Linked DNA regions of Arabidopsis thaliana. The protein of the gene in region 2 interacts with the protein of the main gene of each other region in a pairwise test. Each region holds a gene or a part of one and is shown on either strand. Other genes may lie near its edges.

Region 1 (9,833 bases), on a different chromosome or scaffold from region 2:
TGACTTCCAGAACTCGAAATTCTGCGCAGAAAAGAGATTAGGATGAGGGACCTTTTTGACAGATTCGGCGATCTCGGGACCGATCCCATCGCCAGGGAAGAGAGTTGCGGTGATCGGAGTGGTGGAGGAGCAGAAAGCCCTAGCGACAGAACTAGCCGCACCTGAGCTAGAGTTCACGGCTCCAAGGATCTGAGTCGATCGGTTTCCGATCAGCCGTCGCGCTAGATTTGCTGCCATGGTCATCGCTTCAAGCACCAAAAGGACGCAGCAAATGAAAAATTATTATTCGAGAGAGAGAAAGAGAGGACTTTTCTGCGTTGTGGGACAAAAGTTGTAAAAGAAGAAGCGAATATTTCTTCTTCCGTCAAAACGCTGCGTAGTTTCTAGGTTGCATTAGGTGAGTACGGAATTTAAACGGCACGAAGTGTTTCCTTAAACCCCAGGCCCAATAAAGAGTTGTTTTAAAATTGGTTTCAGCATCGGCCCAATTACATCTTATTTAACACACAAACTACATATATAGAACGTTTACGTAATACGTAAGTATTATTACGTCATCATACATACACTAAACCGGCTCCGGTGGCTTCTCCATAGCTTTATGCGGTGGTGCAGGTGCCGGAAAATTAGCCAACGGCGGTCCGTAGTGTAACTGCGACGTTGATTGAATCCCTTCTCTCCGGCCGATTTTTCGTCCGATGAGATAAAAGGCGATAGCGACGATCAGAAGGAGAAGAATCGCCGGGAACGATATGTAGATTACATAACCCATTGGATTAGTTACTCTGCTGGATTTTCTTAGTTCCCCAGAAATTTGAAGGACTTTATGAAACAGTAAGACGTTTCGAGAAGAAATATTGATAAGGACACGTGTCAGTAATCTAGCGTCGATGTGTCAGCTACGTGCAGAGATCCGGTTTAGGAGATTTAACATTTCAAACCGACGATTTCTTTATGATTCCGCATAGAATTACACAAACCGGATTCGGTTTGTAGCTATGGTCCTATGATGATGATATATGTATATAAACATAACATTACAACCAAATTAAGAAAAAAAGAGCGAAAAATTCTGAAGCAACAAAAATCCATTTTTTTTCTTCTTTTCTTAATACACAATTAACGAAGCAGAGGAGCAATCAAAAGCGAGAGTTTTGATTCTTCGGCTTCCCTCTCGACGTCACTTTGATCATGAGATTTCTCACAATGTTCTTCTTCTTCAACCCAATGATCCGTACGCAGTCACGTTTTTTCTTGAACCGGGTCCATCCTGATTCATACCTACTGGTTTATTCGATAACCGACGTTTATACCGCTTCAAAACCGAAGCCAAATTCTCTTTCCCCTTTGGGAAAGCCACATCACCTGCAGCTGTACCGGTTCGGCCTTTTCTACAAGAGATTGCCATTTCAACGTCTTTGATTAGATCAAGAAGTGTGACTGCGGTTGTGCATTTGCCTTTAGCCGGTTTTGCAGCCGGAGGTAACATTCCGTTAGCTGAAGTCGGACTCGCTCTCTGGTGGCTCGCTGGAATCTGAAGGCAAAAGCACGGTGTCATTGGTGTCCGCAGCTTTGAGAACGCCGGATCAATCACTCCCTGTTTAAATCCATACATGTCAATATTTTCAAACTGCAAAACTGTGATTTTCAATGAACTACTGCGGTTTTTGTTACCTGTAGGCGGTTGAGAACGTAAGTGTACTTTCCCCAAAGCTCAGGCCGACTCTCCATGAGAGACAAGTCAAGGACACGGTGAATGCACCAAACTCCAAAGCTCACAATCAAATCAGCTCTCCAAACGCAACCATCTCCACAGTTAGGAACCGATGAAATTAGTGGCTCCCCCATGTGACCCACCTGGTTTATTTCTCGAGCTTCAGCTTCATAGATAAACTTCTCTCGTGCAGCTACCCGGTCAATCAGTTCTTCATCAACTCCATCGCTTTGTCCAAACAACCACTCGGATCCTTCAAGTTTAATAAGCTTTAGAATACAGTGCCTGAACGACTGAAGAAGCTTAGCCTCTGCATCAACATTAGAAGAAGCGTTGTTGTCTATATTGATCGGATTCGATCTATTCCTGAGCTCCTCACCAACAGCACCATTCCTCTCCGCTACACCAAACTGCTCAAAGGGCTGTCTGGACCAAAGCGATCCGGTCCCTGTTGTTGCACTCTGTGGCAAACTGTAGGCATCTCTGTAGCCTCCTCTTGATTGAGAAATGTCATCATAAGTCGAGGGTACTCCCACCCGTGACCCCAAATTAGAATATAACGATGATTCATTGCTTAACCGACCATAAGACGCACCATACCCTCCTCCTCCACTTGACGGATCCCAGTATCCACTCTTGTTGTTTGGTAAATGCATGTTCCTTGCGGACATAGACAATCCTGAGATATCTGGCATGCTACTATATTTTTTCTCATTGGCTACTGCTGCGCCAACAGTATCAGTATTGCCAGAAGATGGAACACCGTAATAAGATCTTTCAGATTGTCGCGATATGCTTCTAGACCCAGCAAAATTCTCAAACCCAGGAGCTGGTCCAGGGGTTAGACCATTCTGGGACTTCTGTTTCAAGGCTAAAGCAAGTTGCTGTGTATAGCTCAATGTACCAAGCGCCATAGATCTCGATGTCGGGATCTCTCCACGGGATTGTAAGGCTTCAAGCCTTTCTTTTGCCAAATTGTCTACATATGACTTCATCTGGTATCCGTGAACTGTAGCTGGTTGTTGGTGTTCCCAACCCTCTGAAGATGATGGAGCACGCAGGCTAGAGTATCTTCTCTCACTCAATTCGTAAGCATTATTATTATTAGTGGTGTTACCATATGCACCCAACATCTGCATACGGTTGACCAACGGTGACGGTGACGAACCTCTTTGTAATCCATACAACGAATCGATACTTCCCGGTGTCCTCTGCTGCTTCAGTGAATCATATAAACTTGAAGTCATCTGTGAATCCATTCCCTTCGCAGTTGGTGACATGCAATATCCACTGCTAATGTCTTTTCCAAACGAATCTGCTTTCATAGAAGAGGCTGACTTTTGATCAGTGCCAAACAGCTGATCTAGTTTCTTTGCCCTGGCTTCAGCAACCAATTGCCCATGAAAATCATATAAATGTCCCCAAAATTCATCAAGGATCGCAGATAAGTGTCTCCGGGCAGCACGTCCCAAACCTTGCAACCGTGAAAGGCTTCCAGTCCCACTTCCCCCTTCCCCACTTAAGCTGCGGAATGAAGGAGGACCATCAGATCCGACAGTAAAGTTGCTTGTAGGAGCAGCTTTGGTAGCTTCTTCTGTTTCCCATGAAACCCCTTCAACATCCTTTTCAATAAACTTGCTGTTATTCTCCATGCTAACAATCTTCTCCACAGGACTCATTGGTTCAATTTTCGCCATCTTTGTTTCAACAATCAGATCCTTATCACTGACCTCATTAACCACTGTTGACTGCAATACAGACTGTTCCTTTACATCAGAGTCTTCCTTAAGACTACTAACTTGAGAGGTAGAGTACTTTACATCCAACTCTCTTTCCTCTGGAGGGCTCGAACGGATTTCTTGATCCGTCATTAGAATGTTCTCTGGCAAATCATAGACCGAGCTAGTAACAGACGTAGTATCCAACTGATCCTTTACCCTGCTTTCCAACCGCACTATTGATTCGTCTTCGTTCCTCCTTGTTTCTGTTCTTTCAATTTCCTCTTCTTGAACAGATGGATAAGATAAAGCATTTTGAGCATCCATGTTCCATATTTGAGCTTCCGCTCTGTTACTCGCAGATTTCAGCGGCGTGGCTGCCAGCCAGAGTATCAGGCATAAGGATGCACATGACGATACAAGCAGAGTGGTGTACTGAATCGAGGTGCCCATCACGGTATTCCATCTCAAACCACCAGCCCAGTCACTGCTCCCAAATACCATCTCAACAACAAAAACAACATTCAACCCCAGAAATCCCAAAAACGTTGTAAGTGCGAGGAACTCGCCAACCTGAGGGATTTTATGGACACCCATGATTTGTCTCGACGAAGCAATGCGGAAAAGCGGTATTACCGAGCAAGGAAGCATCATTGCCACCAAGACCTGGGTGAATATAAGTAACTGGTATATTCCGTCTGCACCAGATGTCCATACACAATAAAGCGCAGGAGCAACTGCAAGAATTCTGATTGTAGCACGATGAAGCCAAGCGGGTATTTCTATCTTCAGGAAGTCATGCAGGACGACCTCTCCACCGAAAGCCCAAGCTAGTGCGGTAATTTGACTAGAGAAGAACAAGAGCATCAAAAAGACCACTGGAATGAGCGGACTCATAAATACCTGTGATCAACAATCAAGAACAAGATAATTAATAATCACGAGAGATTTCTGAACATTTTCCCTAAAAATGAATTATAGACTAATACGAACATAAAACCGTCAGAACAAACCTGCTCCATTAGTGACAAGGCATCGTGAAAAGTCAGTACCACAAGGCCAGTACTGTGAAACACATTAGCTGCTGCATTCATCAATACATAATTTACAAGTGACAGTCCGCTGAAGACACCAAAGATGGCGAACAAATGGTCTTGACACAAGCTGCTCTTGTCGACATCAGACGAAGATGTACTTTCCTGTAATAGAGCGTTCACTGCTTAGTATAATTATTGCTTCTTAACAGAAAAGAGAGATACATATAAAGAGAAAAAAGGTACCCCAGCAAAATAAGAATGGATATAAAAATTGTGAGGGACGATGCTTGCGCCAAGAAGACCCATCAGTGCGAATGCGCTCTCTCCATTTAACCGAGTTAACACTCCATTCATAGAGAGTGGGATCTCAGACTGACTCAGCAAGACGCCAGATACATAGAGAAGTAATACCAGGCCTGCAGAGTAAATGGATACTGTATTTGCCATACCATTTTCCTGTCAGAAATTGTATGCATGTCAGCTAATTTCCAATAATGCTATTTCAAGAACGTGGAGAAAAAAAACAAGACAGGAAGACCAGTCATACAAGGAAAGAGGCGAAAACAGGAAATAAAAACGCATCCATGGCGGCCAAAAACACTCCAGTGGATAACTCCACCCCAAACAAAAGGTTAAGTGCATGCGCAACTCCCACAACCTGTTTATAATAGAGAAGCTCAAGTCAGAGGAATCAAAATTTTATCACATAATAAAAAAATTAAGAACAGCAAAGATTGTAAGTAACTACCATGGTAAGGTCGAGCAGAATTGCTGAGAACTCCGCCTGAATGCCCAAGAACATGCACGTCCACTTGTCATATTCTTCATTGCAGATCTGTCCCAGTAAAGAACATTAAAATGTTAGAAAAATAGAGAAGGTGGTTAGTAGAATTCCACTTTGAGAAAGTGACAAGACAACCACAGAGCCCAGTTTGTTATTTTAAAAAGTTTGTTCTTTAGAGATCAGAAAAATGTTTACCTGAGCCAAGTGTTTACCAGTCACAACGCTTATGCGAGCTGCAACATATTGGCATAAGATGGCGGCAAAATTGAAAAGCAGAGTAATTGCCACCAAGTCATACCCGAAACGAGCACCTCCTTCGATATTTGCAACCCATTTCCCGGGATCAATATATCCGACAGAAACCAAAAGGACAGGAAGTAGAGCAGGAACCATTCTCTGGATAAACCCTAGCTGAGGTCTCACATTCACAATTTCAGCTTCCATCCTAAATCTATCTGATAATATAATTACTCAGAGTAGGATTCAAGGTCAACTCTACAGTCGTGGTTCACTAAAAGCCTCAGTTGAGTAAAATTCACAGATTTGATCTAAAACACCTTCCCTCGCGAAATCTGATTCCCTCCAAAGCTAACACACAACAACGAATCAGTCGGTTCTTCTATCACCGAGGCAAACAAAGCCACTCTAACGCTTACTTGTTATACAACTCTGTACAGTCTTTCTTTACCTAATAATAGCTGAAGTTTCCTCTAGTAACCAGATGTTAAGTTAAGGACCAGACCTTCTTCTTATTTGCTGCTTCAAGGAGAGAGATCATACAACATTCAGCTAAGTTGGTCCAAATGGAGGAAGCCCTAACAGAGCAACCAAGAGCAGAACATAGACTTCCATATGCTTAACCACTACGGATATCTCCAAACCATTCGAAATCAGCTTCAGACCTGAATTTTTTTTTTATGGTGAAAATCTTCAGATACAGTAGTATTACAAATCAATAATTGATCTTAGTATGAAGCAGCAACAAAAAGAAGATAAGCTCAAAAAAAATACAAATTTCAACTAAACTGAAGCTAAAAGAATCGTAACGCTGACGAAAAGCAACAAAAATGCAAAGATCCCGTATGATCTACGCATTCAGATCTTCAAGGAAAAAAAAGGTCAACCACAAACCAAGTACAGTAGTAAAAAAGAAAAAAGCTTAAATCTCGCAATTAAAACAAAACCCAGAAACCGAAAACAATCCCGAAGAACTCCAAGTCTGGAAAGTCCAGATAATGAAGAGGGAGAGAGATCTAAGCTGAAACTACGAATTCGATCCACCTGATGAAATTATAAAAAGCTGGAAAAAAAACCCAGAAAGTCTCATTTGCGCAAAAGCCGAGGGAAAAGCTACAAAAACCCATGAAAGTCCGTACAAAGCCCCCCAGCAAAATAAAAAAAAAAACAGAGGATTAGGGTTTTTGAAAGAAGTCACCTTCGAAATCGCCATGATCGCAAGTTGACCTAACAACAATAGTCTCAGTGAGAGAGAGAGAAACGGATCTTCAAAAGAGAGAAACTCTTATCAAGCTACGAGAGATAGAGATAGAGAGAGAAAAGAAGAGGAAAGAGAGAAAGAGCTCAGTTCCATCGAAAGAGAGAGATAAAAGAAGATCGAAAAATCAATTATATAAAATATTTATATATAAAAAACGTATACATACATATTTGTATCTATAGGTCTGAAGGTTATGGGTGCTCGTGCCACCTTCAAAGAGAGAGAGAGAAAAAAAAAATTATTACTTGTAAATAACATGTAAAAATAAAGGTATTATTCTTTTTTTTCTTATAGCTAAAAAAACGTCTTTTTAAATAAATTTTCCAGGTTTAACATATAGTTTCTTTAATCCATCTTTATTAATCTTTTTAAACTAATCGTAGTTTATTCCATGGACGAAGAAGAGAATTATTATTACTTTAAATTTCTCGACCCCTCTTTCTCCTCATTACATGTAATAATAATACATCAAACAGCTTGATTATGGAGTTTCAAATGGAGATTATTTTACTTGATTTTGTGAAACGCTAGCTAAATTTATTTTTGTACTTTTGATTTGAGTAATACAAAAATGTTGTTTTCTAGCAATTTTTTTAATTTTTATTAAAAATTTAAAGGGACGGTTACAAAGCGAAAAATAATATAAACGTGACTAACTTTAAGAATACGAACAAAAAATAAGGAATCAAATCTTCTAACTCGCAAAAGATTACATGTGTCGAGAAGATTTGAAATTTTTTGTTACATTCGAGAAAAGTTTACGCGATTCTCGCATACTATAAAATTCAAATCTTAAACAAATAAAATTGTTTAAATATTGTATATATAACTTTTGGCTACCTTTTTATTAGAATTAAAATCCAAACATAATTTAGATCTATTTATCTTATATTAGAGACCAATGTCTAGGAATTTTTTTAATGATTTACTTATTTTAGTATTAAAACAATCTTTAAAATTTTACAAAAATACATGAATAGGTTCTATTATACATTTCAGCGTTCTGCAAAATACTGAAATTATAATTTTCCTTTTGCATAAATATAATAAAAGAGAAATCAAAAACTTTATTTGAAAATGACGTTATTTGAGAAAACTAACTAAAGTTGATGATACAATTAGGCGTTATCAAAAGCTGAAGTTGTTGACTAACGAAAATGGAAAAATAAATGAAGGCGTTAGTACCATAAATATGTAAAATCGGAAATGAGAACAGGATTCGACATTATACTCCACAGAATGCTATAAATAATACGTCTTTATATAGCAAGTTTTTATTTATTCTGCTGTATATGTATTAGACATCAATATTAATTGCATAGAACAACTATTTGTCAAAAATAAGAATTCATGGCCTTCCCTCAAATAGAAAAGAAACAAAACAAAAAAAAACATTTTGTTTTATTTGTCTTTTGATCTCAACTAAGAGCTTGATTTCATTAAATCATCATTGAAAAAACAAATACACTCTACTTTTAAACTAAACAAATATCATATACGAATTTCCATTTTATACAAAATATGTAGTTGGATACAAAATAATAGCTAGATTTTGTTATCACCAGTTATAATAAGTCATTAAGATTTGTCAATAGATTCCAATAAATGTATCATTTTACTAACGAAGAAACAGTTACTATAGTTAGTTAACTGAATCATATTTTAGTATGGTTATATTGATTGATCAAACCATCCTTAACCGAACTATCCAAATCACAAAATCAAACCCAAAACCAAAAGAAGAAAACAAATATAAATAGAATTTCTACTATTTTTGGTCAAATATAATCCACGTGTTCCTAATCATCTCCTACATCAATGGAAGTACAGCTTGGGCTTTCGATAACCATACATTGTACCTTACTATTTTTTCCAATTTGATTTCTTTAGGCTTTTTTTATGTAACTTGTCACTATATATTTAACATACTCAACATTATCCATATTCTCTTGTGAAAGTATATATACATGTACATTGGATAGGAAGCAAATTAAAACACAAGAAACTAAAATTTTGCATCAATGAAAGGAACATGGGCTCCTCTCAGTCCTATGTTGATGTATATGTTCAATGAACCATAACATAGAGACCACACTTGTTTTTTTATAACACTATAAATATATATAGAAACAATATTCTTCAAGTACTTTTGAAATAACACATACGAATTTTTTTATCCGTACCGATGAGTAACCAACACAATTTAAAAGTTTGACTGAATAAAAAAAGTCAGAATTCTTCAAAGAGTCAAGATAGTCATATTTCAGTTACATATGGAATGTATAATGATATCATACAAATAAGTTCTTTAATATGTTTTGACTAATAAATCAATTTCAGTTATTTAGTTTGGTCATAAGGAAGTTTTTTTTTTATAAAGTCTCGTTGATGTTGTTTGGGCAGTTAACCAAAAAGGGAACAAAGCTACATGGTACAGATCATTCATCAGCTTAAAGAATCTTTCTTGTCGATCTTTTTTTAACTAGATTGTGATCTTTTGGGCTTTGTGTCCAAATATTTATTTATTAGTACTATCAATCTATTAATAAAATGGATTTTTGTTAACATAACCTTTCATTAGTGTAAGGGACAATTTAAATTATTTTCCTTCTTGGTTCACTGAATCTCTCTTGGGCTTAAAACACATGGTGGGTGGGTTCATAAGAATTGGAGATTTGAAAATTTTAGTAATTAACCTCGAAACATGAGACGTCAGTTACAAATCAGAACTCGTTTATTGTTCAATTAATTGGTTCGATTCAACAAATGTTTTCGTTTAATCAAGTGGGTTTTCTTTATTTTTGTTCTTTTTTTAATGTATGTGAGTTATTACGTGGAGACCAGAAGAATAAGATCGAATCGGGGATGTTTTAGGAGGAGACATATGAATTTTAAGTAACTTAAACAATTCGAGATTATGTAATGATTTTCTATAATTAAAGATTGCTTGGCTCAGGACTTTAGATCGAAAGTTGTAGCTCAGACAAATGTTTTTGGTAGTAAATTGAATCGATTTGATCTACACATTCAAACCAAGAAAAATTGATTAGTAATATAAGTGGTAGCTAGGTCTTTCAACAAC
Region 2 (7,366 bases):
TAACCCATTGCATCTCCTGGGCTTTGGTCAATACCATTTGCTGCTTTGCAACTAATGGCGCATTGCTCGGTCTACCGGGATGCTTTGTGTCATGTTATGCTTGCGGGTACCGCAAATCATTAAGAGCCAAGTACAATTTACAGGTTAGAATTTCTCAAACGACACATATGTGGATAATACCATTAGGTATGTATGTGGCGCTTCTGACTGATTTAACATTCTTTGATTCAGGAGGCTCCATGTGGGGATTTTGTAACACACTTCTTCTGTCACTTGTGTGCCATTTGCCAAGAATACAGAGAGATTCGAGAACAAAGCAGTGGTTCATATCCTCTTGACATGAAGATGGCTATCACCAATGCCCCCTTGGCTCAAACCATGGAATCAGCTAACTGATCACTTTGTCTCATTGAGCTTCCTTGTTTATTTTGTAGAAGACATTTTTCTTTTCATCGACTTTTGCAATGTATTTGAGAAGTTTGATGAGTAAGTAAAACTTTCTAAGGTAATTTATCATATATAAAAAAGAATTTGTGAATCTGCCACAACCACAAAATGTTGCTCTTTTCGTGAAGATTTATATCGTTTATTTAGTAGTGAATTCCAAAACATATTCTCTAAAGTAATGTTCAATAAAATATAGTGAGAACAGATAAGGTACCTCTCCCCGTATATAGGATTTTTATTTTACATATTACATCCAACAAAATCCAATAAGTTAGATCACACCGTCCGGTCATGTATTTTCTTCTTTCTCTTGCTGCTGTGTAGTTAAAAAGTCTCACCTCAATACAAGTCTTTCCAACGTAATGTATCACCAGTTCCACGGTCTGGTTTGTGATTTAGCTGCAAGATGTAGCGCCATTGAACCACTGCTACTGCTTGGACCGTTGCAGATACCAAGCCTGATGATGAACGAAGCTGTGCAGCCTTTCTCTAGGCCTTCACTTTCTATCCACATGTATCCTCCCATTAGCCCGACAAACCTAACCAGAGACATCCATCAACAGAAACTTGCCTTTTAGCTATTTGTAACACCATCTGCTTATAACTTATATATACTTTTGGGTTGTTACCGTTTACAGAGAGCTAGCCCGAGTCCTCCACCGGAATGGTTCCTCTGAGTTCCGGTCCGAGGCTGTACAAATTTGGTAAAGAGCAAAGGAATGTCTTGTGTGTGAATTCCACACCCTGTGTCCTTCACCTGCACCATGATTATAACAGTAAGAACACAGTAAGAAGCTTAACTTTGTAGTTTAGTAATTTGTAGATTGGGTCTAACCTGCACACATAGGTAGAAGTGACTGTCACTGAGAACTGGAAAAAATTCTGGAGATGGTAATTCTTGTAAGGACTCGGGTTTCATGATAGAGGCTATTATGGAGATGTAGCCTTCCTTAGTAAATTTCACAGCGTTGCCCATGATGTTAAGAATTGTTTGCATCAGACGTTTCTCATCACCAATAGCATAAGTTGGTAAGTCTGCAGACAGAATCAGATTCGTTGATAGTTTCTTCACTGATGCGATTGGCTTTATCAAAGAGATGACCTGCAGATTCAAAGCGCCCATGTTATTCATGTAAGACATATATAATGGACTTCACTGGTTAATCAGGGGGATTTAGTTACCTCTTCAAAGATCGCTTGTAGACTGAATGGTTCATTTTCCAAGAGTAAGCTCCCATCTTCCAATCTCGAAAGATCCAGAACGTCGCTGATTAGTGTAGCCACAAGATTGCTGCTTTTCAGTATTGTCTCGATCATAACTCTTTGCTCTGGAGACAGCTCAGTCTCAAGGAGAAGAGAAGAAAGAGAGATGATGGCATGCATCGGTGTCCTCATCTCGTGGTTCATAACAGCTAGGAAATCATTTCGAGCATGTACTGCCATCTCAGCCTCTTGACGAGCCTTGTCTAAAGCAAAATTCTGCTCCATAAGCTGGTCACGAGCGTGCATGGATTCTTCCAAAATTGCAGCATGTGAGAGAGCCACAGCCACCTGAATGAAGTGAGAGTCAGGGGACAAAACAAAACACTAAAAGCTGGTAAAGCAACTTGACACACAACCAAACATATACAAGTAAAGAGATGGACCTGATCCGCCACGTTTTCTACAAGCTCTAACTCATGGTCTCTCCATTTTCTTGCACCATCGGTTGGGAGAATCAGGACCATGATAGCGTAACCTTTGCCAGAGAGATCCGACCAGTCACTGCCTTGGAAATTAGAGAGATGTAAAAGAGGAACACGGACAGAAACAACCTCAGGAGGTGAATATCTCCCAACCGGAGGCCCAATCTTAGCCAAAGGACAAGAATGAGGTATGTGCATAGCTTGAGCGCTATTGAAGAGTTCATTAATAATCGGGAGATTTATCGGCACACTGCTTCCAACTTGTATTTTATGACTCAAAGTATGAGAAAGCTGCAAATATAAACCACTTTGAGAAGGCATCCACAACGCACATTCCTCAAGACAAAGAGTTTTACCAAGCTCAACAAGAGTGGTTCTTAAAATAGTATGCCTATCAAGAGTTCTTCTAATTCCATGAGTAAGCATCCTAACATGCCTACCAGTCTCCTCTTGTGTTAAAATAAGACCCATTTCTCTATCTAACTCATCAGCTTTCTTCTTGAGAAACAATTCCCTGTTCTTAACACTGAGAAGATCAGGAATAATATGAACCAACATCAACGCGGTAGCACACGACACAACCGCGCAAGAGACTTTAGCAATAGTCATGACAATGGCAACGGCTTTGGAATGCATGAAGAACATCCATAGGTTGATGAAATGCGTAGCTCCACAGAGAATGATAAAGGCTCCAAACTGCATAAGCACCCATTTGTAAGGGAAGAAAGCAGACTTTTGCACGAAATAGATAAGCTCGAGTGGGATTGAGAAGTATGCAAGAGCAATCAACGCATCTGAGATGTATTGGTACTTCACTAACAGATCATCTTGATTCACATGCGTCTCAAAACAATCGCATGACTCCATTTTTGGAGCTCTGACTTGTGTTGACCTGGTCAACAAAACTCAGATATCAGTGGAGACTAGATTTGGACTAGAGCTATGGAAAAGAGATACAAAATCTATCCAGAAAATTGAATCTACAAAATGAGATTGATTCCTCGATAACACAACACAGATCGATCAGATGAAATGTTACTAAAGTAGTGAAATCAATCTTCATCGATAGATAGATCCGATCAGAAGAGAATAAATAGAAAGTTTGTTATCCCGAGACGGCACAGTACCTGGAAGAGAAGGATTCATGACGGCGGAGCTATTGGTGGTGTGAGCCTCATAGCTTTGGGTAATGATGAAAAAAAGAAAGTTCAAGTTCGTCTTCCTGATTGATCCGAGCGTTATGAACTTGAAGAAATGAGAATCCAAGCGTAACAGTGTGATAAAGAAGAAACCAATGAGAGGTAAAAGTTTTTGATGATTTTTTTTTTGCAAAGAGGGAAGTTCACGTGTTATAGGCCTACTTGTTACATTTAAATAATAATATTATTAGCTCTCTTTTTCTGACAATGAAATAAAGAAATTTTAAAAGTGAGCTCAGGTTCATGAATCTGAGGGTTCATGCTAATCCAATTCTCTCTCCGTCGACCTTCAGGTAAAGACTTCTTCTTCTGTCACTTGTGTGCTCATATTCTCCTGCTATCACCGATGCCCCCTTGGCTCAAACCATGGAATCAACTAACTGATCACTTTTGTCTACTTGGATTTCAGCTTCTATTGTAGAATGACATTTTTTGGTCATCGACTTTTGCAATGTATATGAGAGGTTTGATAAAACTTTCTAAGGCTATGAGTTTATAAAAGGTAAAAAAAAAAAGTTACAGCATTCGGATTCTACATCTGGAAACAAAAACCGGACAACGGTATTAGCTAAGGATATTACGTGATACCAGAGAGCAGGTATTTATTCTTTTACATACAAAGCCTATATGAGAGAAGACCTGCTGATATATGTTTCAATCCTCATATGTCTTCAAGTGGTCACAAGATGAGGAGCTCCTGATCGAGGTAGGACACAGGAGTATGTTACATACTTTGCACTGTCCAGAAGCACGACTACAAAAACTCGAGACAGTGATTTTGGTCCCCCAATCATCCCATCTATATCTCCATCACCTCCTTCTCTGGGATCAACAAGCACAGATACAACCATTGATGAAGCAGGCTTGATTTCTTTGCTACTGCTGTTTCTTTGGTGCTCTTTCGTGAGGTTAAAATCTGATCCTGGGAGTGGAATGGGAAGACCACGAAGGATTCTTCTGTTCTGTTGCTTGTGTGTGTCTGTGGTGTTCTTACCGTGTTCAGCAGAGACGTTGGTAGCTGCAGGAATGATGGCTCCAGAGGTTGAGGATACATCAAACTGAAACACTTCAGTGCACATCCCTGAACTAAACATGGGACCTACAATATAGTCATTTAACAAACAAAAAAGGTGTTATTATTTAGTGAACAAGAAAGATATAAACGCTACTACTGCGCTTACAGCTTCTGCCGAGAAAGATGAAGAAAAATATACAATATGAGTAACAATTTCACATGTTCCTTATTAGTGTTTAGTATCTAATCCAGATTATACAATACATCTACTCATGACCAGAGATTTGCTGAAGGTAAGTTAAGCCTCATTAAAATGTTCTTGTGTCTAATATCAAGATATGATAAGGACTAGTATACCTACAATGCCTGCCTACATAACCAAGTCAAGGGAACAGAAAGTAAGATCAAAAACCCATGATTACCTGCAACACCTTCACGGAACCATTGCTGCATTTCACCGTTGGCTGCTTTTGTTTTGACTTGGTCTTTCAGAGTATCAGCAGAGCCAGAGGATAGAGCTTTCTGTTTTTCAGCCTTAGATCTATAGAGATGCTTAGCCAATTCCTCTGTCCTTCCCACGTCAGGTAGAGGCAGTGCAGGGGTATAATCTTTAGAGATCATCAAGTCAGCTTTCCTCTCCTTTGATTCAGAAGCCTTTCTCGAAGCCACGGCTTTCTCACTCGCCAATATAGAATTGATAATCAAATTCCCATCTATCTTCACAAGCTTGTCATTCCTCGGAACAAAGAGTGATGCAACTAGAGGCTCACTACCATTTCCAGGAGTGACAGAACTCTCTGTTGCAGATATATTTTTCCTAGCTCCTCGATCAGAATCTCTCCCACGATGCATCCCATTACTATTAGAAACCCCAGTACCAGCACCACTACGAGATGTATCCAAAACTCTATCCCTATGCTGACTGTAAATCTGGTCAGTAATATAATTAGATCTATAGTTCCCATAAAAAGCACCACTAATTCCTCCATAATTAACGTTCACAATTGGAGCTAATGCACCAAACAAAAATAGACAAAACAGAAGACCCAGAAAACTAATACTAGCCACCTTCTTGGTCTTAGCTTCACTCTTCTTACTCTCGGACTTCTTAGCCTTGGATGTTCCAAGGGTGTTCTGTGGTTTCAACCTAGGAATAGGAATCAAAGGCACTTGAGATCCTTGTTGCTTCACCATATAAGGAGGACAAGGCATCCATGGATAAGGCATTGGAGCCATAGGTGGATACATTCCCATCGGAGGTGGTGGAAGATGCGGCGGGCACATTCCATTGCCACCCAATTGCTGCCTTAGAGTAGCATTCTCAGCCATGAAATACGATATCTTACCGTTCAAATCCGTAATCGTAGAATGCATATTCCTAACCTTTTCTTCAAGCTCCTCGACGTAATGCTTCTTCCTCTGCCTAGAAAGCTGAGCACTTTCACGGTTTCTCATGAGTCTAGCTCTCTTTTTCTCATCTTCTTCACCGGTAACAGCACTAGCGTCAGCATCCTCTCCCGATCTCCTGTACTTACTGTTCCTAGACTCGTCAGTCAAATCCTCATCGATCTCTTTCTTCCTCTTGGTAATAGACGTCGTCGTCGTAGCAGCTTCTTCCACTTTAACCTTCTGGTCGACCGCAACGTTTCTCGATTTAGGCGACGATTCATTTGTAGCTTCCGAAACATCAGAACCGCAATTACCCGAACCCTGAGAGGACAATGGAGTCGGTAGATCTAAATTATGGTCAGCACCGGAGCAACGATCATCGGAATCTCTAGGAGATTCCCGGTTAATGCAACCGGAAGTTGTAATAGTCTTATCTGCATCTTTGGGAACAATACAATCACCGGAAATTCCAGAACTTTCAGACTCCGGAGTGAAATCACCAAACTGTTCTTGATTGGACGTATTGATAGGGATGAGAAACGACTCATTCTCAGCAGGGAAGTAAAGATCGTCCATACCGTCGAAAGTGAGCTCGAATTCACCATCGGGAAACCCCAGATCGGACATTAGTTCACCAATCGGAGTCTGATCGGAGAAATGATCATCTAACGGAGGGATCGAGATGGAATCAAAATCGGACGGAGGAGGGTAGGTGGAATTAGGGTCCGGAGCAGGTGGAGGAGGCTGCTCCTTGGTGATTGGTTCAGCCATTTTGAAACTGAGTTTTAGGGTTAGGGTTTCGAATTTGGGGATGAAGAAGAAGAAGGAGAGATTCAAAAGGAAGAAAGGGGTTATGGAGGAATGAGGTTAGAACACGGGAGAAAGACGACGAGGGGTTTAAAGACAAAGAGGAAGAGGAAGTAGAAGGTGCTTGCTTCCGTCTTCGTCTACTGCGCGTGGGTCTTACGCTCCGGAATCATACTCGCTAACTTACACTAGTGATTCATGAAACTTATAATATCCAAAATTAATCGCTTTCCAAAATAAATGATAAACAGCAAATCTAGAAAAATAAATTGGGAAATTTATTTTGAATAACACTTTTCCTAAGAGTAGCTAAATTAAATTTTATGATGTGCTAGTGGGTTTTTTAATTTTGAATTTGTTTTTGATTGACTATTATATATGTTTAAGATAGTAAGTAGTAATTTTGATCTTCAAAAAAATATTAAACTGTTATTTTTAAAGAATTGACTTAATAGTTCATTTAATATTTGGGAAAGCAGATTTAAATTATTATTTTTTTTTCATAAATTAGGATATCAGTTTTAAGATTTCTTTTAAATATATAATTGACTTAATAGTTCATTTAAAATAATTTACGTAAATTACTTGGGGAATATATCATTTATCTCCCAAAAAATAAACTTAGTAATAATTTTTCGCGATTCGTTATATATCTTTTTTTTTTATATAATTACTTTCTTGATTTCACAAATCTCAAATAGATTGCGTTTAAGGTGACTGCAAAGATATGAATTTCTCACCATACATAATCTCTACAATTGTCTTGATACCAAACTATACGTGTTTCGTAATCGAGGGGGCTATAAAAGTAAAACAAAGCATAT
Region 3 (7,153 bases), on a different chromosome or scaffold from region 2:
CGAGTGAGTGAGATAGAAAAGTTGAAAAGAGAAGATGCGAGTGAGTGACTGAGGAGATAGAGTGAAGAGGATTAAAGAGTTAAGACTGAGAGGTTTTGAAGAAAGATCATATCGAAGGAGAGAAGCAGAGATGGTGAAAAACAAAGCTTTTTTTGGTCAGATTATGGAAGAAAGAGATAATCCAGCATTCTTCAAGATTCTTCGAAGGGAAGATCATTCGACTGAAATGATGGTAAGCCTTATCACTTATTTTCTTATTAGCCTTTTTTCTTAAATTAAAGATCGAATCTATTGGTTCTTCAGTGTGTCTCTTGTAGTGTCCTGAACTTAGATCTGTCTGTTCTTGGTCTTAACTAAGTTTTGATGTGTGAAATGATCGGATCGGACCAAATGGATTTTGACTGTACATCGATCAGTAAACTTTTATTTACTGTACTTATCACTGAAATTGAGGAATGTGACTTCATTTTACCATTTCCTGATGTTCCATATTTCTTGATTTTGTTGCCTCTCTGAAGAGAATGATTCCTCATCACTTGATAAGAAGCATCTCCGACAAGTCTTCATCGTTTAAGATGGTCTTAAGAGTACCATGGGGAAGGTCATGGCAAGTTAAAATCTCCAAGAACCCAAATTTTCACTACATGGAAGATCGTGGATGGAACCAGTTTGTGAATGACAACGGTTTGGGTGAAAACGAGTATCTTACTTTCACTCATGAGGCAAATATGTGCTTTAATGTAACCATATTCGAGGCAGATGGTACGGAGATGCTTAGACCAAGAAAAACCATTACTTCTAGTTCCGGTAAGTGTTCATCATCTATGTTATTGCTTTCTTTATGCTTAAGAAGAAGAAGAAGAAGAATACAGTCATTAGTTACTTCTGTGGTTGATTTTGATGCAAACAGGTCGGAACAAGAGAGAAGAGAGGAAGAGCATCTACAAAGATGTGAAGAAGGAAGAAGAGATAGAGTCTTGGTCTGAATCGAGCCATCCTTGTCACAAAACAGCTGAATCTACAAGTGGGAGATTGACGCAGAAACAGGAGCTTAACTTGAGAAAGAAGGAAGCCGATAAAACCGAAAAATCCAAGACGAGTAAGAAGAAGAAGGTGGAAACTGTTAGTAACGACTCTGAAGCCGGTACTTCATCTCTTATTCCAGAATTCAAGCTCACCATAAAGAAATCACACCTTCTGTTCTTGGTAAGATTAAGCAAGACAAGACCAGTGACACACTGTCGAAATGGCTATGTATAAAAGTGTGTATTAATCTAATGAAAATCTGTGATTCAGGGGATCCCAAAGAAATTTGTGGATATGCATATGCCAACTGAGACAACGATGTTCAAGATTCATTATCCGAGAGGAAAGAAGTCATGGGATGTTACATATGTGGTCACTGATGTACAATCAAGATTCTCTGGTGGATGGAGTCGTTTGGCCAAGGAGTTAGGTTTACTGGTCGGAGATGTTTGTACGTTCAAGCTCATCAAACCGACAGAGATGCGTGTGAAAGTCTCCAAAGAATAGACACCATGACGATGATGATATTTTAGGTGTAGTTGCAGAATTAGTGAAGAACTTCGGAACAAGATTATGGTCTGTGATTCAATGTTAGGACTAATTTTATAATTTTGTTTTTCTACTTACTACTTAGGTTTGATTTGTATCCCAATGATGAATCTGAACTCCGTTTGAGTAAAACAGATTTATTCATTTTATTAAAGATTATTGTTGTAGTGTTTACATGATGAATGTGTATAGAGCTCGCTCCGGTCTCTTCTCTTTATTGTTTGACAAAGAAAACTTAAGTTACAAATAACTCCAGCTTCTTCCTTTGGCACATTGCCTCCATCTTCATCTACAATTGCTTGCAAAGGTGATCCGTTGAATACAACAATATCATAAGCCTCTTCTGGTCACTGAGATTTCTGAGCTAAGTTTGAGATGTTTATCCAAGAATCAAGCGTCTTGATAGCTTTCCCAGACGATTGTACTTCACGTGCCACGGTTACTCCTTCAGCTAGCGTTTGAACTCGGTTGCTAACCAGAAGAGCTGCAGCTGCGTTTAGGATCTGAAACAAGATTTTGAAAAAAAAGGATGAACAAATTGCAGAAGTTCAGAGAATGTTGAATCGGCAAATCAAAACATACCAATGAATCCGCAATTGCTCCACTTTCCCCTGAAAGCACACGTCTTAGCACATCCGCATTGTAGTCTGGACCTCCACCTCGCAAATCCTCAAGAGTACAACGAGGAATACCAAAGTCCACTGTCAAAAAGAAATAAGCTTCAATTTCATTAAGCTGCATCTGCAATATTCATTTTAGAGAAGGGATAAAAAGCTAGAGGAAACATTACATGGGTCGAATGAGAATTCTTCGATCTTTTCCGGAGTTACATCATAAACTAGTCCTCCTCCTGTTTTTCGTTAAGCCATGATTGGTTAATAATTGTTCAATAATAAAAGTAATCAATTTTGGGAAGAGATAATCTTACCTAACGGACTCATTTCGTCTAGACCACATGAATGAACCACCAGTGCTCTTTTCATTCCAAATCGTTGCAGTGCCTTTGCCATCTTAACAACCTATGAAACCACACAAGCAAATGGTAAGTAAATGTCTTGTTTTTGTTGATGAACAAACTAATTTCAGCAATAAGTAAATGTACCAGATCTTTGTGGTATACACCAACGACAGCATAAGAAACTCTAGCAGGATTAAGCATAGGTCCCAATATGTTAAAAACAGTTTTAATTTTAAGCTTTTTCCGAACAGGACCAACGATCTTCATAGCTGGATGATACATTGGTGACATCATAAAACCGATCCCCCCTTCTTCAACACATCTTTTAATGCCCTCTGGTCCCAAGTCCAGAACCACTCCTAGTGCCTCTAGTACATCAGCACTTCCACAAGCAGAAGAACTTGAACGATTCCCTTGCTGCAAAATAAGTATCCATTAGTTAGACGACCAGACGAAGATCATTTAGCATTAATGCAGATAGTCAAAATTTAAATATATCGTTTCTTTTAAGGATTTTCTCATTCGTTATACCTTTGCTACTTTTGCACCACAAGCTGCAGCAAGTATTGAAGATCCAGTTGATATATTGACTGTGTTTGCTCCATCACCACCTGTTCCAACTATGTCCACAGCATCAACTAATCCTTCCACTTTCCTGGCATGCTTCATCATTGCCCTAGCTAACCCCACAATCTACCCAATATCCGAATTAAAGTGAACGTTGAGTTAACTTATTGAAGTGCAGTAATATAGGATTATGTATACTTTTTTATTATAAGCCTAGATTGACTTAATGGATACTTACCTCTTCGTATGTCTCTCCTTTAGCTCTCAGAAGAACTAGAAAGGCACTGATCAGCGCCTCGTTTGCCTCATTCAGCAAAAACTCAAGAGATGATTCAGCCTCAGTTTCAGATAGATCAACCCGATCAATCAAGGTTTCAATCAACTGAAAGAAAAACAACAGAACAGAGCAAACGCAGTATGAGAACATAGTAACCCCATGATTTAAATCTCTCTCTTCAAAGCCATTGGAAAATCACCAAAAGTAAAACTCTTTTAAAACCTATAAAGTAGTACACTTTTACTCAAGTCAATAAAACCCATCAAGCAATTAAAATGAAATTCGAAGAACACACAGGGCCAAACATGTTTAGTCAGCATGAAGCCAATAACTCAACCCAACTCAGAAATACAGATACAGATATATAAAAACCCTGAATTGTTCACAAATCAAGAGACTTAGAAACAAGGGATCATCAAACCACAAACTTATCCTGAAAATAGAAATGAAGAGTCACCTGGTTGAAAGATTTAATGGAAGAAGGGCTAGCATTTGCACAAGCAGGTGGCAGAGCTTCAGCTGCACTAAATCCACCGCTCAAACCGAGATTCTGAGAGCAAGCGAAAGAGCTGCAGCAATTCAATGGATCAAGAGCACAATCAAATGACCACAAACAATTTCAAAGGATGTGTTTTTACTCTAATAAGCAGACACCTAAACCCAAAAATCGAGGCTTTACCTGCGACTAAAGGAAGATTGAGCATCCCCACGAATTGGGGAAACAGCTCCGATCGATGAGAATCGTCGCCGACTCAATGTCGGAAAAATTCTAACTCCGGTCAAGTTGCTTCTTCCGCAACTACTGGACGCATCATCTACGGCGTTGAACGAAGTTAAGATCCCTGAAAGCTTGATTCCGGAAACAATGGAGCTCGTCGTCGCCACCGCAATAACCATCACTCGATTGCTCAACCAACACAGTAGAGAAAAACTTGAACGAAGGAGAGATTTCTATGATGGTTCGTTCCTTCCTCTCTAATAAAGCAAAGCGCCTTAAACCAAATCTTAATTAACTTTTAACTTTTGGTCTTTTTGCTTATAAAGGGTTTCCAGTTTAGTACTCAGTATTTTATTTTTTTCTTGAAAAGTGTTTATTTTATTTTATTTTGGGTTTCATATGAATATATTTGTTGATTACTGAATGACTTAATGCTGCTTTGACTAATGGACCTTTGAAATTTCCAAATTGAGTTTGGTTGGTGGTAGTTGGTAATGCTTGGGCAGTGGATAACTCCTTTTGTTAGTCACCAACAACGATTTCCTTGTGTGCTTATTTCCGCACATTTACCACTCTGCTCAAAAAGTAGGTTCATCAATTTTGTCATACCAAACACTTCTTTGTTTTAGACATGGTCAAACACAGCACCTATAATAGGAAATCATATAAAAATCCATTTAGTGGCCCATTATAACCCAATAAGGCCCAACAAGGTTAAACGACCCAAACTATATATACATCCCCTCCAAAAAAAAAAACAATATTACATGAGCCGATCAGATAATGATGGTAGTCGCCGGAAGAAATTTAACACCGGAGAAGGTTTCCGATCACGGAAAATAGGATGCCGGAAGTAATAAAACCCTGACGCCATAGCCACCATCTTCGTCGGCACAAGATACAACACCAACGCCACAAAGAAACACAGCCCCACGAATATACCAGTCGCTCGTGGGTCACGCCACGTCACCAAAGCTTGCATCTTCTCCCCTTGCGCAGCCACTTCACCAAGAATCGTTTGAACTCTAGCTCCGACGTTTCGTAGCTTATCGTACCTCAACCGAACCATCTCCGGTGGTCGGTTGCTCGGTACGACGTCAAACTCCTCGTCGAGCTCGTCTCTATCAGCTGCATCAGCTAACGAGAGTCTTGGATCGAAATGTGGTAGAGCAGCACGTGACCTGAACCTATAATTCCACGCACCAATCACGAACAAGTAAAACGCTAATGTCGGTACGATAAGATCCGGGAACCAAATCAGCATCACGACAAGTGCGTGAACTAGTAAAGTTGATGTCGGATTCTTCCAGAAACGGGTGTCATCAACCCACCGCACCACGTCGACCATTCCGGCGACTACATTCACTATCCGAAGCCAATTTGCTCTGACTTTACGCATACTGAAAGTATGAGTATCGGCGTCGAGCATATACCGTACTATCTCCGGCCTTAAAGGCGGCTCAGATCGTGACAAATGTGCGGCCAAGATCTTCACTGCAGTGTTCCTCAACATATCTTCTTGAAACAAACTCAACGGTTTAATGTGATGCATCAAAGGCAATAACGGTTGAGTATACACGTGTAAGAAATCCAACGGTGGAGCTGTTCTCACGAATCTAACGGCCAATTCTATCTCTCCCAATTTTTTAACGCCGCCGTTAACTAACATCAGTAACGGATACGTATTTCTATACGCTTTACCAGTCTCCAGCGTCGATATACGTATACGTACTTTTCCAATTCTTAGATCTTGACGCGTGGCTTCTTTTCCACCGTCGACTTCGTATACTCCCCAGCTATCGAAGACTCCTATAGTCAAAACCGTACACGGATCGTATACTTTCCACGTGTACTGTTCGTTCCATTTCGGATCTAAAGAATCCGACACGGTTCGGGTACGGACCCATTTAGAACCGTATTTCGCCACCGTGTACGCGTCCGTTGATCCTTTTCCGTTAACCGTCTTCATCGGTAATAGATTTTTGCAACCGATTATACCGAGCTCGACGATTCCCACCGCTGGTTTCCATAACTGCCTCGCCGTAGGTCGGTAATCACTGCACACGTGCGCCGCCTCGTCCATCACGTGATAACCTCCGTCGAAGCAAAGCCTAATGTGAACTCTAGATCTGTTTCCTCTCTTCTCGTCGTTTGGATCTTCCAATCCTAACCATCTCGAAGCAACCAAGCGATCGTCGACGCGTCTCTCGATTGCGCTGAGTGGCACGCGAGCCATTCCGACGGTGACTGGTCCTTTCGATGTTCGATACTCCAACGTGAAAACAAGCTGATCGGAGAAAGGTTCGGCGGCTACGAAGAGTAGATCTTCGTTCCATGACGGAGCTCCGTTACGAGTAACGGCGGATTTGGTTTTCTGAACTTGGGAACCTAACTGAGCTTTTAACTGAAATGACGCTTCCTTAAACGCCGTTAACTGAGGCGGTAACAAGTCTTGTGCTTCTATCACGGTAGCGCGTAGATACCACAGCTTCGACGACATGTAAACCTTCGCTCGTGCGGTCACGTTTCCGGCTGTATCAGTTTTCCACGCGTCGGGGAATGATTCGTCTGCTTGAGTTCCTGTCCACGTGGCAAGCATTAGATCACTGTTGTGAGCTCCACCACCTTCGAGACGGTACCATTGCGGCGCTAATGGACTATCCGGCGGGTCTCGGAGCGGAATCTCTGACACGTCGAAGCAAATTCCACCAAGGAATTGGCTGGTTTCGATTCCCGTCGATGAATCCCACACGGATATCTCCAGAATTGGAGAGGAAGATAAATCCGGTGAGTCACGGAGGAAGGCGAACGTTTGATCCCACTCGAAGCAAGAGGTTTTTCTAGCCGGTTTTGATTGAATCATTGTGCCGGAGAGTGAGATCTTTGTGACTGGACTCCCGGAGGTTGGTAAAGACCGAGCTTTCACGACGCGGATGAAGACGTAATGCATCTTCTCCACCAAATCAAACGTGGATCGTTCGATCGTTGATACGTCGGAGATCTCTGATGTGTAGCTTGCAGTTTCCGATACGCTTCTCCGTAGTGGTTGTGGTCCGTT

The links.
Region 1: the proteins of ERS1 (region 2) and EIN2 come close enough for resonance energy transfer, tested with the Arabidopsis thaliana proteins (one study listed by BioGRID).
Region 3: the proteins of ERS1 (region 2) and TRP1 interact in a two-hybrid assay, tested with the Arabidopsis thaliana proteins (one study listed by BioGRID).

The regions. Positions count from the first base shown.
Region 1 is NC_003076.8:784,453-794,285, reverse strand, and holds EIN2 (NRAMP metal ion transporter family protein), read right to left. Parts: upstream 6,859-9,833; 5' UTR 6,689-6,858; intron 6,156-6,688; 5' UTR 5,698-6,155; coding exon 5,449-5,697; intron 5,305-5,448; coding exon 5,218-5,304; intron 5,128-5,217; coding exon 5,017-5,127; intron 4,926-5,016; coding exon 4,713-4,925; intron 4,632-4,712; coding exon 4,446-4,631; intron 4,336-4,445; coding exon 1,675-4,335; intron 1,598-1,674; coding exon 1,220-1,597; 3' UTR 882-1,219; downstream 1-881. Other genes in the region: IDH-V (isocitrate dehydrogenase V), read right to left, coding at 52-243. UniProt on the Arabidopsis thaliana protein: Central factor in signaling pathways regulated by ethylene (ET) and involved in various processes including development, plant defense, senescence, nucleotide sugar flux, and tropisms.
Region 2 is NC_003071.7:17,083,821-17,091,186, forward strand, and holds ERS1 (ethylene response sensor 1), read right to left. Parts: upstream 3,507-7,366; 5' UTR 3,260-3,506; intron 3,025-3,259; 5' UTR 3,000-3,024; coding exon 2,094-2,999; intron 1,999-2,093; coding exon 1,630-1,998; intron 1,550-1,629; coding exon 1,283-1,549; intron 1,205-1,282; coding exon 1,077-1,204; intron 987-1,076; coding exon 815-986; 3' UTR 501-814; downstream 1-500. Other genes in the region: AT2G40935 (PLAC8 family protein), read left to right, coding at 1-143, 232-396; BZIP17 (Basic-leucine zipper (bZIP) transcription factor family protein), read right to left, coding at 4,003-4,430, 4,769-6,506. UniProt on the Arabidopsis thaliana protein: Ethylene receptor related to bacterial two-component regulators. Acts as a redundant negative regulator of ethylene signaling.
Region 3 is NC_003076.8:5,954,451-5,961,603, reverse strand, and holds TRP1 (tryptophan biosynthesis 1), read right to left. Parts: upstream 4,525-7,153; 5' UTR 4,275-4,524; coding exon 4,057-4,274; intron 3,947-4,056; coding exon 3,835-3,946; intron 3,483-3,834; coding exon 3,339-3,482; intron 3,227-3,338; coding exon 3,065-3,226; intron 2,951-3,064; coding exon 2,678-2,950; intron 2,595-2,677; coding exon 2,504-2,594; intron 2,426-2,503; coding exon 2,366-2,425; intron 2,277-2,365; coding exon 2,158-2,276; intron 2,079-2,157; coding exon 1,923-2,078; 3' UTR 1,534-1,922; downstream 1-1,533. Other genes in the region: VDD (VERDANDI), read left to right, coding at 131-232, 519-807, 911-1,206, 1,297-1,533; AT5G17980 (C2 calcium/lipid-binding plant phosphoribosyltransferase family protein), read right to left, coding at 4,859-7,153.